Mus musculus: one gene and its partner. The protein of the gene in region 2 interacts with the protein of the main gene of each other region in a biochemical or structural test. Links are inferred from orthologs where the notes say so. Each region holds a gene or a part of one and is shown on either strand. Other genes may lie near its edges.

What was found. The genes of interacting proteins can lie anywhere in the genome.
Region 1: the proteins of Ube2d1 (region 2) and Rnf167 form a complex in vitro, tested with the Homo sapiens proteins (3 studies listed by BioGRID). The link is inferred for Mus musculus from reciprocal best matches to the Homo sapiens genes UBE2D1 and RNF167.

The regions. Positions count from the first base shown.
Region 1 is NC_000077.6:70,643,447-70,651,767, reverse strand, and holds Rnf167 (E3 ubiquitin-protein ligase RNF167 isoform 1 precursor), read right to left. Parts: upstream 4,534-8,321; 5' UTR 3,900-4,533; coding exon 3,816-3,899; intron 3,754-3,815; exon of another isoform or gene 3,740-3,753; coding exon 3,659-3,739; intron 3,361-3,658; exon of another isoform or gene 3,176-3,360; intron 2,548-3,175; coding exon 2,422-2,547; intron 2,324-2,421; coding exon 2,236-2,323; intron 2,094-2,235; coding exon 2,003-2,093; intron 1,857-2,002; coding exon 1,751-1,856; intron 1,643-1,750; coding exon 1,549-1,642; intron 1,005-1,548; coding exon 924-1,004; intron 847-923; coding exon 554-846; 3' UTR 347-553; downstream 1-346. Other genes in the region: Slc25a11 (mitochondrial 2-oxoglutarate/malate carrier protein), read left to right, coding at 4,906-5,000, 5,540-5,692, 5,778-5,984, 6,148-6,238, 6,328-6,418, 6,499-6,598, 6,678-6,729, 6,847-7,002.
Region 2 is NC_000076.6:71,279,964-71,288,223, reverse strand, and holds the start of Ube2d1 (ubiquitin-conjugating enzyme E2 D1), read left to right. Parts: upstream 1-2,961; 5' UTR 2,962-3,099; coding exon 3,100-3,123; intron 3,124-8,260.

The DNA.
Region 1 (8,321 bases), on a different chromosome or scaffold from region 2:
CTGTGTCCAGAATGAACTCTTATTTCCAGTCTTATTTCCTTTTCTAAGCCCCAAGGACTAAACTAAGTAGGCATTCTTCTGTGTACTTAGTCATGTGACCTAGGCCCCTCTATAGTGGTATTTCCATTTTCAGGTCCAGTTGAATTAGTATGTAATGGAACATAGCCATCCAGACCAGAGAATGGGTCCAAGCCTGCGGGTGAGGCAGGGCCACTTGAGTCATCCTGTGTAGGTGGGGCTCCCCTCCCTGAGTCATAGCAAATGCAGCTAGGGCTCTCCCCGACAAGTTCATCCTATGAGGTGATTATTTTTCCAGAATTTCACCTGTGTAAAGATGATCTTAACCTTTTTTTTTCATCCACAAAAAAAAACCAATTTTATTAATCCAAGAAATGAAAACCATGTCCCTATGGCTTCTAGCCCCCTCAAAAGGATGAGGCTGGGTTCATGAACCTGGGGTAGAATGTCCCCTATCCCTCACCCTCAGCTTATTAGACTGGAAAAAGAGTTTGTGCAAATAGGACGGTCACCAGAGGTACCAAGTATGGGGGTGTCAGGCCAGGGCAGCAGATGAAGGAGGTGAGGGATCTGTGGAGGGCCCAGGGAAGACCAGGGGAGCAGGGGCTAGGGATCCAAAGGAGGTGGGAAGAGTAGGGCTAGAGCCCAGGAGTGGGGTCCATTCTGAAGCAGGTTGGTCCCTTGGCTCCCCTTCATCGCCTTCCTCTTGCTCTTGAGTTTCTTCTTCCTGCTCCTCATCGCCAGGACCCCGATGTACAGGCTGTTTGCAGATGGGGCAGGTCTTGCGGGTCTGAGTGAGCCAGGGGTCCACACAGCGACTGTGATAAGCTGTGGAGTGGTTTATATGAAAGGCTGGTCTCTGCAGGTTGGGCAGGAACACAGACACAGGCACATGTGGGCCTTACCATGAGCACAGGGAAGTACTCGAAGCTTGTCCCCATCCTCATATTCATCCAGACAGATGGCACAGACGTCATATTCATCTCCTGGGAAAGGAAAGGATTCACTCAACTATTGGCAGTCACGCCCAAGAAAACTCACTGTACAAGTCTTATTGCCCCGTTTTCTACCAAGCCAGTGCAAACTTAGGGCACCACATAAAATCTTGGGGCTAGAGGGGACAAGCAGAGATAAGGGAAGTGAGTTGGGGGGGGGTAGGAGGGGAAAGCAGAACTGGGAGGGGCGAGGCGTTTGCTATAGCCTTATATGGTACTGGAGGCTCCAAGTCTAGATAACCCAACCCCTCACCTGCTTGCTTTGAGTTCTTCTGGCTCTTACACCTCTTACACCCCACACACAAAGTCAAGTTTCCTTTGTTCATCTCTGCTTTCCAGCGCCTGCTCTACCCTACCTCCTTTGCTTGTGGTTGGTTGGTCATCTTTTTTTTTTTTTTTTTTTTTTTTTTTTTTTTTTAACCAAGCAAAGGTGGCACCTTTCCGGTTCTTTTTTGAACCCTTTATCTACTCACTGGGTTCAAAAATCCTTCAAGATGAGGCCAGCTAGGAGAAAGGCCCCTTCTCCTGCCCTTACCTTTCTGATAGTCATGGGTAGGAATCTGTTTCAGTTGCTCTTTGGTAAGTCGGTTCCGCTGAAGCCGTTTCCGGTGCTGGATGCAACGAACTATCTAGGGATAAGGAAGAGTGGACCAGGCTTAAAAAATGATTGGAAAATGCAATAAACCCTCCCCTCTACCGATCCAGTCTGGCATCGTAAGTTCTCCTCAGCTACTTACCAATACTGTTCCCATGGCCAAAACCAGTAATCCTACAATCCCAGTGAAAGGAATGAGGTAATAGCCCAAGGGGAAGCTGTTGTCTGGAACCAGAAGCACCCGAGCCCTGAGGAGAGAGAGACACAACCTCAAGCCAGGTAAAATAGGGTTACTGGCTTGGGACAAGGCATAATGAGGAGAAAGTCAAGGCAGCCGAGGAAGAGCCTGAGCCTGAGTGGATTGAGAAGAACTGGAAGAAAGCATGCGTCCTACCCCTTCTCGTAGACAAAAAGGGCTCGTAGGTACTCTGCGCTTCTCTCTCCAATAAATACAGATGGGATCCAGATCTGCTGTTGGATTTCCTCTGTAAGGAGCAGGATATTAGGGATTTAGCCTTCTGTTCCTCAATTCCCTGAAACTGGCTTTTGGCACTTTTTGCAGATCTCAACCAATTGCCCTCCCACTCAACTCCACGGTGCACCCAGTAGTGCAGGCTTCTTCCTTACCGCTGTTCCACACCATGTTCAGCAGTTCATTGGAATTCACATTGTGCACCACAGCTGCACCATACCCAGCCTTCTGAGCATTTAGGACCTAAGGAGGCCAAGCGGGAGGGATAGAGCTGTAACCCTTGCCCTTCATTCCTGGTGTCATGTACCCTGCTTACCACCTCCCATTCCCCATTCAGCAACCTTGAGGTCAAAGTTGCAGTCGAATCTTCGAAGCAGTGCAATAAAGACTGACCCATTGACCGGGGCTGAGGGTGGTGGGGCAATAGGACCGCAGGCATTTTCTGGGTGGGCCTCCACAAGGAACCCCTGAGGGATAAAGGCAAACATTTTCATCTTTAGTTCTGTCTTCCACAGGACCTACCACACATAACACTATATACTACCTGCATTCTGCAGCTCTATCATTGCTCATTCTGGAGGTCTGAGCATCCCACCCAACACTGAATCTACAACTCAGACATGGTGATACATGCATTTAATCCCAGCACTTGAGACTACTGTGAGTTGGGGACAGCCAGAGTTCCAGAGTCCAGTCTCAAAAAAAAGAAAAAAGAAAAGGGATCTCTCAGCTTTCTTGAAGATGCAGTTACAGTAAACTACATCCCTTACCAGAGGCTCCCTTAACTTCTCAAGCGTAGTTTAGTTCTGCTTTTAAGTTTCCCACCGATAGTGGTTCACCTTGCTACTCATTCATGGCATTTTCAACAAGTTTCATTTTCCAATTAGCCATCTTACAACTCTACTGCTAACTGTGGCCGAATGAATTCTTGCTATGTGGCATGAACTTTGTAGTGAACTACTACAGACATGCTTATCACACTGGCACGATAGCCCTAGGTTAATTTCTATTTCTCATTTGACTCAGAACCCATAAAAAGCTGTCCATGGCCATCTATACAAACAGTAAGTTGCTCCAGAGACTGCTGATAAGCACCTGCTTTTTATCTTAGCCCACTCTCAGACTCCCTCTTAAACTTGGGAGTTCTAGGGGTTGTAGATGGTTCAGTGCTTAAGCGCACTGGCTGTTCTTCCAGAGAACCGGAGTTCAGTTCCTAGCATCCATGTAGCAGCTCACAACTGACTGTAACTCCAGTTCCAGGGGATCTGACACTCTCACACCTATGCATATAAAATAAAAAATGTTAAGTTCTAGAGGTGGGCACTATCTATTATCTCTGGATTCTGGACTCTGCGCGCTGGACATGATCATGCACTTAGGTTTTTCTGGATTGGGGACACTTTTTTTTTTTTGCTGGAGATTCAACCTAGAATCTCACTCATACTAGAAAAAGCACCCTATCATTGAACTATCCGCAGTCCACTGCATTCCGCTGCTAACTCCACTACTTCCTACCTCCTGAGCACGGCCACTTCGCCCCTACCCAGGATCCATATAGGGAAATGGGGAAAACATCACCTGCAGTCCCTCGTCGCTCAGAGTGGCCCCAAACAGAGCTGGAAGGTCTGCAAAGTCCATGCTGGCATTGTGCTCCGAAGTCTGCAGACGGAACACTACGTGTTTCAGTCTGAACCCCATTCTCAGCACCCTGTCCCCGTCCGACCCTCAGACTCACCGCTCGAATCAGCCCTCGGACAGGGGCTGCTCCCCACAGTACAGTAGCCACGACAACAGGAAGCGGGAAGGCCGCAGGGTGCATGGCAGCGGGAGGGGTAAAGCTGCGAAGGTCGCGTTCTGATCGCAGGAGCAGAAGCCGAGTCCTGCGCCCTCCTCTGCCTCTCCTTCAGGATCCCAGGGGTCCAACCACCCCTAGGTCCCACTTCTCAGCTACATGGGGGCGTCGGGGAAGGAACTCCGATTCAGGGAGTGAGCTATCAAACCAGCTTAGCGGAGCTGGTAGGGGAGACAATGTATCTTTCTCTAGTACAGAAATAGGACAGAATAGGAGCGAAGGCAAACAGGTAACAACAACAACAAAAAAACTTCCGGAAGGGTAGGAGAAACCTCAAAGAGGTGGGACTTCCGGCCAGGTAGACTGTCTTCCTATGCCCCTGGAAAAGGGTTTCCGGTAAGAAAGGCCAATTCCAGTATTGGACGCTCAGGACGGAGGACTTCCGGTCCCGAGAGGCCGGTTGAAAGAAATGTTTGACATGTAGAAGGAGCCTGCGGAGATGGAGGGAGCTTCGATGCTCAGGAGACGATCTAGTTTTTTTCCCTCAGTCCCTGAGATCCTGGAGCTGCCCTGTTTACAAACCTCTCCTTCGTCTGGCCGCCACGGTACGTTCAAAGTATCGCGAGAGTGCTTGCCACCACCCTCCCTCCACCCCCCCACCCCCTTTCGCCGCTGAAATATATCGCGAGAGGCCTCATAGCCCGAACTCGGCTGATTCACTTGCTCTCGCGAGGTTTTCAAACAAGCTTTTTTTTTTTTTTTTTCCCCGCGATTCCAATTCCGGAGGGGCGGGAATTTAGGGTAGCTTCCTAAATCGGCCACGCCCCTTCATCGTGCATCTTAGCCCCGCCTTATTCCCCGGCTGCCTTTGCGCTCCGAGCCTGCGCCCGCCCCAGCTTCCAGCTGGAGCCAGATTTGCCTGTCGGAGGGGCGTGCGCGCGCGCGCCCTCACCCTGTTGCGCGCTGGTGTCACCTTGGGCGCGAGCGGGGCTGTACGTGCACGGGACCCAAAGCCGAGGGCCATCAAGGGGCGATGGCGGCGACGGCGAGTCCTGGGGCTGGCCGGATGGACGGGAAACCCCGTACCTCCCCTAAGTCTGTCAAGTTCCTGTTTGGGGGCCTGGCTGGGTAAGCTCAGGCCCCAGTGATGGGGGAAAAGGAGGAAGGGACGGGAGCAAGCACCTGGGCCCAGTGTAACTTGGGGTGTGTTGCAGTAAATTGAGCCGGTGCAGGGTCCCTGATGGGTTGCCAGGATCTATTCATCCTTTGCAGGGACCCAACTGTGCTGCATTCAAGGATCTTTACCCTGTGTTTCCACCACCTTTGCTTCGTTGTGCCTGTTTGGGTGGTGGGTATAGGTCATTAAAGGCTTTGTTATAGGACTGCTTGGAGTCTTAGGATGGGGACGCCCTCTCCACCTTTCTTTAGATCGCCTGTAGTCCTAATTCTGCTTGAACCCTAAAGAACTGCCTGAGGCTTTTTGATTTGCATGCCCCTTACTGGGCAACTGGACTCTTTTGCTGGCACGTTGCCCTTGATGCACACACTTAACACACATGCCCACCAGCCTCCTGAATCCTTAGTGGCCCTGACCTTTGTAACTTCTTGCCAGGTTGCAGTAGAGCTGGAACCACTGACCTCTGATTCCCTTTCCTGCCTCACTTCAGGATGGGTGCTACAGTCTTTGTGCAGCCCCTGGACCTGGTGAAGAACCGGATGCAGTTGAGTGGTGAAGGGGCCAAGACTCGAGAGTACAAAACCAGTTTCCATGCCCTCACCAGCATCCTGAAGACAGAAGGCCTGAAGGGCATTTACACTGGGTACTGTGGCCTCAAGTTGGGGAGGGAAGTTGTTGGTTGGCAGGTCCAGACCTTGGCCTGATGTGCTGACATTTCTACTCTTCAGGCTGTCAGCTGGTCTACTGCGCCAGGCCACCTACACCACTACTCGCCTTGGAATATATACTGTGTTGTTTGAGCGCCTGACTGGGGCTGATGGTACACCCCCTGGCTTTCTTCTGAAAGCCCTGATTGGCATGACTGCAGGTGCAACTGGTGCATTTGTGGGAACGCCAGCTGAGGTGGCTCTCATCAGGATGACTGCTGATGGTCGGTGAGTTCCGTTTCTGAGCTTAACTCCAGCCCCATTCCTGGACTCTAGGATGGTGTTGTTAGTCTATATCTACATCAGGGCACTTACCTATTCAGGCTTCCCTTTCTTTGTTCCATGGACCCTGGTCTGTCCTGATCTTGGCCTTTCCCTGCCTTTCCCCCAGGCTTCCAGCTGACCAGCGCCGTGGCTACAAAAATGTGTTTAATGCCCTAGTTAGGATTGCCAGGGAAGAAGGAGTCCCCACACTGTGGCGGGTGAGTGCGAGGGTTGGAGTCTTGGGCCATGCTGGGTTAGATCTCTGGCACTTTTGACTGTCTCCATTGCCTCCACCCTCCACCTCCAGGGCTGCATCCCTACCATGGCTCGAGCTGTCGTTGTCAATGCCGCCCAGCTTGCCTCTTACTCTCAATCTAAGCAGTTCTTGCTGGACTCAGGTGAGAGACCCAGAGCTGAGAACTTGAGCCTGGCCTGAGCTACCTGAGAGTTGACTACCACCTTTTGCTTCACCTCCCAGGCTACTTCTCTGACAATATTCTCTGCCACTTCTGCGCCAGCATGATCAGTGGCCTCGTTACCACTGCTGCTTCCATGCCTGTGGACATCGTCAAAACTAGGTGAGTCTGCAGCCTGGGACTGGAGAACTTGGGGAGGCCCCCCTTTCTGGTTTTCATGTTCATACTGACTCTCTTTCAGGATCCAGAATATGCGGATGATTGATGGGAAGCCAGAATACAAGAATGGGCTGGTGAGGAGGGGGGGGAAGGGGTGCCCTGGGAGGGATGCGAAGGGAGCTAGGGACAGGGGACAGAGCCTGGACCAGGACCAGGGCCTAGCCCCAGCACTTGCCTGCCTGTCTGTCTAGGATGTGCTGCTGAAAGTCGTCCGCTATGAGGGTTTCTTCAGCCTGTGGAAGGGCTTCACACCATACTATGCCCGACTGGGCCCCCACACTGTCCTCACCTTCATCTTCTTGGAACAGATGAACAAGGCCTACAAGCGTCTCTTCCTCAGTGGCTGATCTGGCATGGTCCCAGGACTAGTGTGCCAGGCTTCCAAGCCATCCACTGCTATTACAGTCGCTATGCCCTGGAGGACCTGGATTCTGCTACCCTGGGCTATTCTATTTATTTTCCCTCTCCAGTGTGGTTTTCTCCTTTGCGGTAAAGAACTTAGTCTGTTCTCCCCCTACTCCAGCCTGCCTGCTGTGCTTGCCTGATGCTTAGAATCACTTTGCCCCTGGCTCTTCCTGAGGAGACCTAAGACACACACCAAGGATTTCTAGTCTCCTCTTGGGTGTTAGATTCAGGGCACACCAGACAGCAGATCCCTCTCTCTGGGGAATCCAAGGCAGAGCTGAGGAGACAGGAGAAAGCAGAAGCTGTCAAGATGACAAAGGGTCTATGGTGGAAGATGTGGCCTTCCTCCTCCCTGAGGACTTAATAAATTGGATTGAAATACCAACCCCAAATCTGGATAGTCTTAAGGATCATAGGGGGAGGTAGCTGCACAAAGAAGCTTATATCTCTGGAAAACAAACTGGAGTTTTAACAAAATAATTAAAGAAAGTCACCTACTGGTTTTATGAAAATGCTGTGTAAAGTCGTAACTCAACAGCTGACAGAAAAGAAGAAGAAGCAGCAGCGCTGGGCAGTGGTGGCTCAGGCCTTTAATCCCAGCACTCGGGAGGCAGAGACAGGCAGATTTCTGAGTTCGAGGCCATCTTGGCTATACAGAGAAACCCTGTGTCAAAAAACCAAAAAAAAAAAAAAAAAAAAAAACCAACAACAAAGAAGAAGAAGAAAAAACTGGGCCTTGTGCATACTTGCAAGCCATTTGTCCCAAAATGTGGCTGACTCACAAATTATATCACAGTTGTCAGGAAAAGCCTCTGGGATCTGCCTTTTCAGCATCAAGAGGGAAGGGACAACAAGTCTAAATTGAAGCAGGGCATAGTGGTGCTTGCTGTTTATCCCAGCACCCAGGAGGCAGATTTCTGAGTTCAAGACCAGCCTAGTCTACAAAGTGAATTCCAGGACAGCCAGGGTCACAGAGAGAAACCCTGTCTTGAAAGACCAAAGCAACAACAAAAACCCCCTGGACTTCTATGGGCTAGAGCCACAGTGGTTGAGTGAGAGGTTCAGAGCTCTTGGGGGATATAACGGAGTCAAACCCAAGGATTGAGGCAAAAAGAATATTGATCAGAAACTGGGTTGGCTAGAGAAAGTGATTATTTTTTTCATCCATTTTGTTTGTTTTTTGAGACAGAGTTTCTCTGTGTAGCCCTAGCTGTCCTGGAACTCACTCTGTAGACCAGGCTCGCCTCGAACTAAGAAATCC
Region 2 (8,260 bases):
TTCCTTCTGTGCTGGTTAATCTTGGCTGTCAACCTGACTGGACAATCAATTAAATGCAAAATGCAGAGTGAGCGATTTTCTTAGCCAGATTATTCGAAACAGGAAGACCCACCCTAAATGCAGGCTCCACCTTCTGGTGGCGGCTCAGATAAAAGGCGACAAAAGGATAATAGATTTTTCCCTGTTTGCCCTCATTCTTGCTGGCAACCACTCTATCTTGTTCCTTCACCAAGATTAGAACCAACCTTTTGGGCTTCCAAGACACACCGGAGATTAGCAGCTCTCCAGGAATCCTCCAGACCCCCAGCACCAGATTGGTACTGCAGAGACATCCAGACTCATGGACTGAGCAACCACCAGATTCTTGGACTCTCCAGGGTGGGACAGCCATCATTGGACTTCATGGACCATATCCTATATACCAACCTGACAATACACACACACAGACACACGCGCACACACTTTTTTTTTTTCCAAGACAGGGTTTCTCTGTGTAGCCCTGGCTGTCCTGGAACTCACTCTGTAGACCAGGCTGGCATCAAACTCAGAAATCCACCTGCCTCTGCCTCCCAAGTGCTGGGATTAAAGGCGTGTGGCATCATGCCCAACGAGTCCCCTTTTAATATATATCAACTCTACCAGATTTATTCCTTTAGGGAACCCTGACTACTCCCCCTTCCCTTCCCTCTCCTTTCTTCTCTTCTTTTCCCCTCTCTTTGTGTCTCTTCTCCCCACCTTGGTGAATAGATAGAGGAAACTCTCCTGGGGTGTACTTTGTTGAGTCATGTTTAGAAGGATATGTAAGAGTTCATTGGGTAAATGACAAGAAGTCCTTCTACACCGTGAGTGATGCACAAAACCAAAGCATTCACCAACGACAGCAGGTAAGCTAGAGTTGGTGATGAATTGTGATGGACATTTGTGGCTTGTGGGTGTCTACATCTTTGAGGGAGAAGATGATTCAATCAGTGACTCGTGGAGCAGCCCGTAGGACCTACTGGAAGAGAGACAACTTGATGTCCCTGTCTTGAACCCTCAGTGACTTTCAAATGAAAGGCTCCTACCCACAGGGATACTGGAGGGTGTGCTTTTGGGATGGCTTAGTACCAACCTCCAAATCATCTTGCAGGAAGAAGAACTGTCTGGCAAGGAGTTACTGGGAAGCGATGCTTTCCCATGATGGTAGCAGGTAACCATGGCCTCACTTACAACATGACATCCAAAAGCCATTGGCATGGGAACACAGCACTGAATGCATCAGGAGCCCGAGACCAGCCTGCACATCTCTGACTTCATTAACAAGGTCACCATTTGGAAAAATATAAAGGTAGTCTTCCAGTTCTAGCGTGCAGGATGGTGCTCAGGTGTCCAGCTAGTCTCTGTACAACTCTTTGTAGGAGTCAGGACTTAGCTACTATTTTCCAGAAGTCTCTTTGATCAGTAGTGTTTTCTAACACTCCTGAGCTGGGGTTGGGATATGATCAATGAAAAGTGGTTCGCTGTGTACTTATTCTAGTGTGCATGAGACCCTGAGTTCCATGATCTGACACAAGAAGGGTTGATTTATGGTTTGGTCTCTAGCTAAAAAGATGAATTGCATTAATGCCACTCTTCTTTTGGGGTGAGATAAAGCAGTAATAATAATTAATAATAATAATAAGTGGGAAGACAATGTCTATAAAGTGTTGACAAGCAAGCATAAATGTAGGCATGGTGGGGCTTGTGTGTAAAATCAGTGCTGAGCAGGTAAAGACAGCAGATACCTGGCCAGGTTAGCCCAATAGGTGAGCTCCAGGTCCCTGTGAGAGACTCTGTCTCAAAAAACAAGGAGTACAGCTCCTGGGAAATAATTTCACAAACACACACACACACACACAAGGGGAGGGGGGGCGGATGGACAGGAAAGTAGACCAATATGCAGACAGAGCAGGACTGCTTGAGGGGACCTCTGCAAAGCACAGTCCCTCGAAGCTTTCTGGGCCGCAACCCATCTCTAGTTTCTGCAGAGGGCGTGGGGCTGGTCTTCTGTGGACCACTGCAAAGGCGGAGAAGAGAACTTCCCAGATGTGGCTGATCCAGCTGCAGAGACACTGTGGAAGCCGCGACAGTGAGCGTTGAGTGTTTTGAGAAGCAATATGGGATTCAAAACCATTTTAGATAAGGAATGGATTGACTTTAGTCATCAGAAACCTAAGACTGACCAACGCCGTCAGAAATCCAAGACTGACCTGCAGGTGCCAAGCCAAGAAGTCATGGTTGAAAGGACAAGCAAGATCTGAGATCACAAGAACTGAGAAGGGGCTGGAGGACACCTCAGTGGGTAAACTGCTTGCCGCAAAGCCTGAGGACCTGAGTTCGGATGCCAGAGACCACGTAACGGTTGGGTGTGTGGAAAGCTGTCTTCAATCCCGTTTTTGGGAGGTGGAGACAAAAAGACATAAAGGAAAACCCTGTTTCAAAAAAAAAAAAAGAAAGAAAGAAAGGAAGGAAGGAAGGAAGGAAGGAAGGAAGAAAGAAAGAAAGAAAGAAAGAAAGAAAGAAAGAAAGAAAGAAAGAAAGAAAGAAAGAAAGAAAGAAAGAAAGAAAGAAAGAAAGAAAGAAAGAAAGAAAGAAAGGTGGAGTACAATTGACGAAGACTCCTCACGCCCTCAGGGGCGAGCGGGGAAGAGTCAGAATTATCTGCAAAGGAAGTTAAGATCCGCCGCAGGGTCTGTGCGAGGAGGAGCGAGCCGTGGTTCACAGCAGCTCCTAGGAGCGACAGCTCACCTGCTGTCTGGGTTTTTGCAGATTCGAGACCTTGCTCTGCAGAGCGGCTGCAGGGAGCGGCAGCAGCCTGGTCGCAGCTGTCACCCACGGGTGACCGGACGACGTCCGCGCGGGCGGCAGAGGCCGAGCCTGGGACTACACTTCCCAGTGTGCCAGGCGGGCGGGGCGCGGCGGGGAGGGCGCAGGCTCCTTCCCAGCAAGCGAAGGCGGAAACAAAAGAGTCCGGCGCCGCCGCCCGCACACTCGCGCACCGCGCCCGGGCGCACACGGAGCAGCCCTGCGAGGCGGCAGCCCGGGACACGCGGACACTCCGCAGCCCCCGCCGCCTGCCCCATGGCGCTGAAGCGGATCCAGAAAGTGAGTGGCTGCCAGAACCGGCCTGGGTGTCCCCAAGATGTCCCCAGGAACCCGGGGCGCACGGTGTGGGAGGGGCGCGGACACTGGGGAGGCCGGGGTACGGATCGGCCCGCACAGGTGAGGCGTGCATCCGCAAGGTCTGGGTACTTGGAACCTCGGGGCGACCCGATCCGGTCGTGCCCTTTCCAGGATGAGCCTAGAACCTCGGGTGCGGGTGCCCGTGGGGTGGCCAGATTGTCCCGGGGTGTGTGCATCCCCGCTGGGCCGGGGCTTGCTCTGCAACGGGCGGCCTTCGTCCCCTATCCCGCTGTGCGTCCTCACAATGTCCCCGGAGCCCTCCTTGCTGTGTTCGCACCCCGGGTTCCCCGAGAGGGCAGGGAAGGTGTGGTGGGCCTACGGCCTTTATTCTCAGAGCGTGGGGCTGGGTCTTTCTGGGCTCTGCAGTCGGCTGGTGCTCAGTGGGAGGAAAGGGCTGGGAACGCGAGATTGGGGCCGAGGAGCCAGCAGAGAGCTCTTGCCCCTGCTATTTTGGTGGTTCTGCACGCAGCTGCCACTTCAGGTCACATAGCTGTACTGAGAACATAGTTGCTGATACACAGCAAGATGAGCTCCTGGCTGTGATTCATGGCTAGGTAAGCTAAGCAGGTTGTTGGTTTTGTTTTGTATTTTTTTCTTCACACCCTCACGATAAACTTAGATGTAGAGTTGAAGACACAACACTAAGGACCACAAATTAAATTGTTTGGATGCTTTGATGTGTGAATAGAGAATGAGGAAGACAATCGAAGGGACAGTCAGTCCTTACATAGGATCGGTTCCAACCCTCTCTTTGTATTCTTTACCGCACCCACTTCTCTTGTTGGCCTGTCCCCTATCTCAAGTATCTTTTAACATTTTACAGCGGTAGTCCTTGCTGCTGGGAACGTGGTGTTTGGGATCGCTTTAGAAGCAAATGCGCCAACAGTGGATAATGTGTTTGGTAATTGATTTCACAAGAAATGGTTGGCTCCCCAAACGTTTTATCAACCTTTCCAGCTACACTTGACTGAAAATGTTCTGAGTTAGAGTGGTAGGAAACAGGCATCTTTCGGTACTGAGGACAGCAACTTTTACCCGCAGCCAAATTTTCGTTTGTTTTTTGTTTATTTGTTTTTGTTTTTGTTTTGTTTTTGTTTTTTTTTTTTTTTTTTAATAAACCTTAGCTGTGTAGATCATCGCTGTTCTTTGTGCCGCTGAAGGTCAACTCGGTATAAAATGTTAAGATCAGCGTTTATTAAATAATGACGTTTTCTCGTTTGAAGATAACACGGTGGCACTTTATTTTTAACCATATAAACAAGCTTAATTTTGAAGCTGCAATCGTCATTACCGTGCCGATTTCTGAACGCCGACCAATCTACTGTTGGTTCCCATTTGGAAGTTTTCAAACTTTGCTTCCTTTCATGATGGTGAAGCATTTCCATGTGGCTTTGCACTCCTCTTCTCTCTCTCTGTCTCTCTCTGTCTCTGTCTGTCTGTCTGTCTCTCTCTCTTTCTCTCTCTCTCTCACACACACACAGTAGCTCTTAGATACCAAAGGAGTTATCTATAGTATATATCCATCCAGAGAAATAAGACATTATTTTATGTGTAGGCTTGATGCATCTTGTTGCTCATGCTAAGCCTGTGTATTTGACTTATGTTAATATGGCAAATTTCCACATCTTCTTTCTCTCTTCCTTCCTTCCTTTCTTTTGTTTAGTAGATACTGTGTGTTAAACAGAGTTGTCTAGTATGAAGATAACCTTAAATACAGCTGATGGGGAATCTGTGACAAACTGGTATTTTGGAGAAGACACCAGAGGTCACATGATCCTATAGTCCTGTCATTGACTGCCACAAATCACATCAGTCATACAAGCCAGCCACCCCTTCCCCCCCACCCCCCACCAGCTGATTCTCCCGTTTTCTTCCTTCCTTGCCTGTCATCTTGCTTAGAACCAAGTCTAGGGTGGACAGGCTGCACCGGGGGCAGCTACAGTGCCCTCTGACATCCTGTGTTCAGATTCTCATTTGAATCACGTTCAAATGTTGAGTTCAATGCTCACCTTTGGCCTTAAAAAAAAAAAAGATTTATTTTTAGTGTGCGTATCTGTGAGTACGTGCCACATGTGTGAGGGTGGCCACAGAGGCTAGAAGAAGGAAGAGAGGACAATCAGGTATCCTGATGCCAGAGCCATTGGCGGATGTGATGTGAGCTGTCTAGTGTGAGTGCTGGGAATTGAACTTGGGTCCTCTGGAGGAGTAATAAATGTTCTTCACTGCTGAGCCATTTCTCAAGCCCCTACCCCCCTCCTCCTCTTCTTCCTCCTCCATCTTCTTCTTTTGAGTATCTTTTAAAGCAATCAGAAAACTTCAGGCCATTGGGCAGTGCTATTTCTTTACCTAAAGTATCAGGCCTCAAAGCTCATAGAACTCCAGGTTTGCAGTGGTGTAGCCAAGAGTGCAGGCAAAGAGACAGTCCCTAGGGCAGGGAGCAGAGTCACAGCAGAGCCCAGGGCTGCCAGTGGAAAGATGCTGAACCTCCAGGTTGAGGTGGGGTTAACATGGAAAGGTCAAAAGCCCTGATGTTCTCCTCTGTTCTCTTTATTCAAAGAGGGAACCTGAGGCGGGAGTTGGGACGAGTTTTTCCCAGGCTTAATCTCTTGAGAAGTGATTTGGCACATTTGAGAATAATGGTCACAGCTTCTCATTTCTCCACCTATGAAAAGAACAAAGATGATGTTGGATTAAAACTGTCTTTCTACAAAGCGTGTGGACATAGGCGCTTCAAATAGATCCCCATGCTGGAGTAGACTAAAGGATTTAATGCTCTAATTTAGACACCCTGTGCCAGTTCTGCATTTCAGCTCATAAATTTACACACCCGTGGCCTATTTTTAGACATAGAGAAAGATGTTATTACAGCCGCCTAAATCACTGAAGGGATAAAGTTTGAGCAAAATCGGAGGGGAGAAGCCTGCGGTAGATTTGACAAAAGAGAGCAGCTTTCAGTTGGGTGTCTATTGTTAGTTGTTTTTTAGGTGTTTCTTTGGTGAACACTGTTTTTCAGTCCTCAGTACATTTTGCTTTGAAAAAAAAAATCACCTTTTTTAAACGATAAATGTTACAATACAATACCGAACACTTTGAGACCCGAGGGAGAAAGAACCCTAATACAGCTGCCATCAACATCGTAGTCTCTGTCTCCTTTTGTGTTTATTTTCCAGAAGGAATTTTAGGTAATAATCTGCTACGTGCTATGTACTAGACCTCGGCCTTTTTTTTTCTTTTGGTCTATCTTCTGAAGAGTGAGACAAAAGGCTTTTCTTTTACAAATATCGTGACACATAATTATCCTTCCCTGTATAGTGTTCTGTCCCAAAATGAAACATTTGAGCCTGGGAGTGTGGCTCAGTGCTAAGACACACACCTACTGCTTTCAAGGCTCCGAGTTCAGCTGCCTGTGCCCACAAGAATAAATAAGTTGCCCTTGTATCCAAAAATCGAACATTTGGCTTTTTAATAATTAACCTAAATTGTGTGCACGAAGGTAAATTAAAATGCAGGTTTTGTCACTGTTTTGAGCTGCTCTGATTTTGACTCGTAGGCTTTCTGAATCACAGCGTCTGTGTTGCTCTAGGAAGCACCGTATCTTCCGCAGCCAGGCCCTCTGTGCCTGCGCCATCAAGGTCAAGAGAGGACCCAGGTTTTGTTCCCGGCTCTGTGACTGACTTCAGTTTTTCTTACCCATCCATGTCCCAAAGGATGACAACCACCGCTGTGTGCGGAGGTCGCTCTGCCTAACACCATGCCAAAAGCTTACCTTTCATGAGCTGTCTGACCCTTCATGAGGCAGTAGAGCTAGAAACAATCTGATTCCCGTTCTGCAGATGATGAAACAAAGGCAGGAGATGTTAACTGGAGTTCACAGGATCACATATCTGGCATAGGGAAATGGCTAGGATTCCAAACGGGACAGTATGCCATAAGCACAGACCTCTCCCTCCATCATATGGACCGTTATGTTGTTGGGTGTTTGTTTGTTTGTTTGTTTTTAACTGAAAGACATGAAGTCAATTGGCAAAGTGCTCACCTGGTATGCACACATCCCTAGCATGGTGGCTCCCTCCTGTTATCCCAGTGTTCTGGAGACAGGGTTGGGAAGTTCAAGGTCACCCTCAGTTTCATACAGAGCTGGAGGTCAGCCTGGACCAGAAGAGACCCTATCTCAAAGACAAACACATAAGAAAGATTTAAGTCAGATGAATTGATGGAGACGAGTGCTCAGCGAGATGATGTTCAACCCTGTAATTAGAACTCTGCATGTTTAATTGCCACCACAGCTCAGCGCTGAGTGACGACGCTCAGTCACCCTGCTCCTCAGAGATGACCCTTGTCACTAAACACTGGAGAATAACAGCTTCATTCATCTTCCCCATACCCCTGGAAACGTTGACTCCTTCCAGAGGGATTTAGAAAAACAACTGCTTAGAGTTCTTTAGATAGTCTGATGGTAGCCTTATTGTGGAATTTTCATTTGCCATAATTGTGAATTGGTCTGATCGTTTAAGTGCCTGTCGTGGCTTTGAGTACTAATTCACATTAGAAGATCAAATGAAAGATTACAGAAGGAGAGAGCCCCGAAGAAAACACACGGAGCCCAGCATCTTTATTGTCTGTAGATGATCAGTTTGCCTCAAGAGGAGAAGAAGCAGTATTCTTTCTGGAGGAAGAATCCGTGGTGGGAATTTTCCTGTCCTTAAGCCCCTATAATTAAACTCTATCTTTTGCCACTGTCTGTACTTTTTTTTTTCCTTTATGATAACAAAGGTAGCTTAAATGTTCTGAAACTCCTTCTCTGAGGAGATATAAGTAGCATAGACTTAGATGAGACTATTGACGTCTGTTCTCGGGAGCCAGACATGTAAAGACCAAGGGATGGATGTAGATTGCCTCCAGGAATCAAGGAGCATCCTTGCCCCTTCCGGCTCCCTGAAATACACAGAAAGCATTGGGGCCTGTATTTTCATTCAGTGTTGCTAATCAAAAGTGATACAGGGAAGTTCATGGTGGCTTAGCAATATGTTGATACACACCTCACCCCCTTTTAAATATC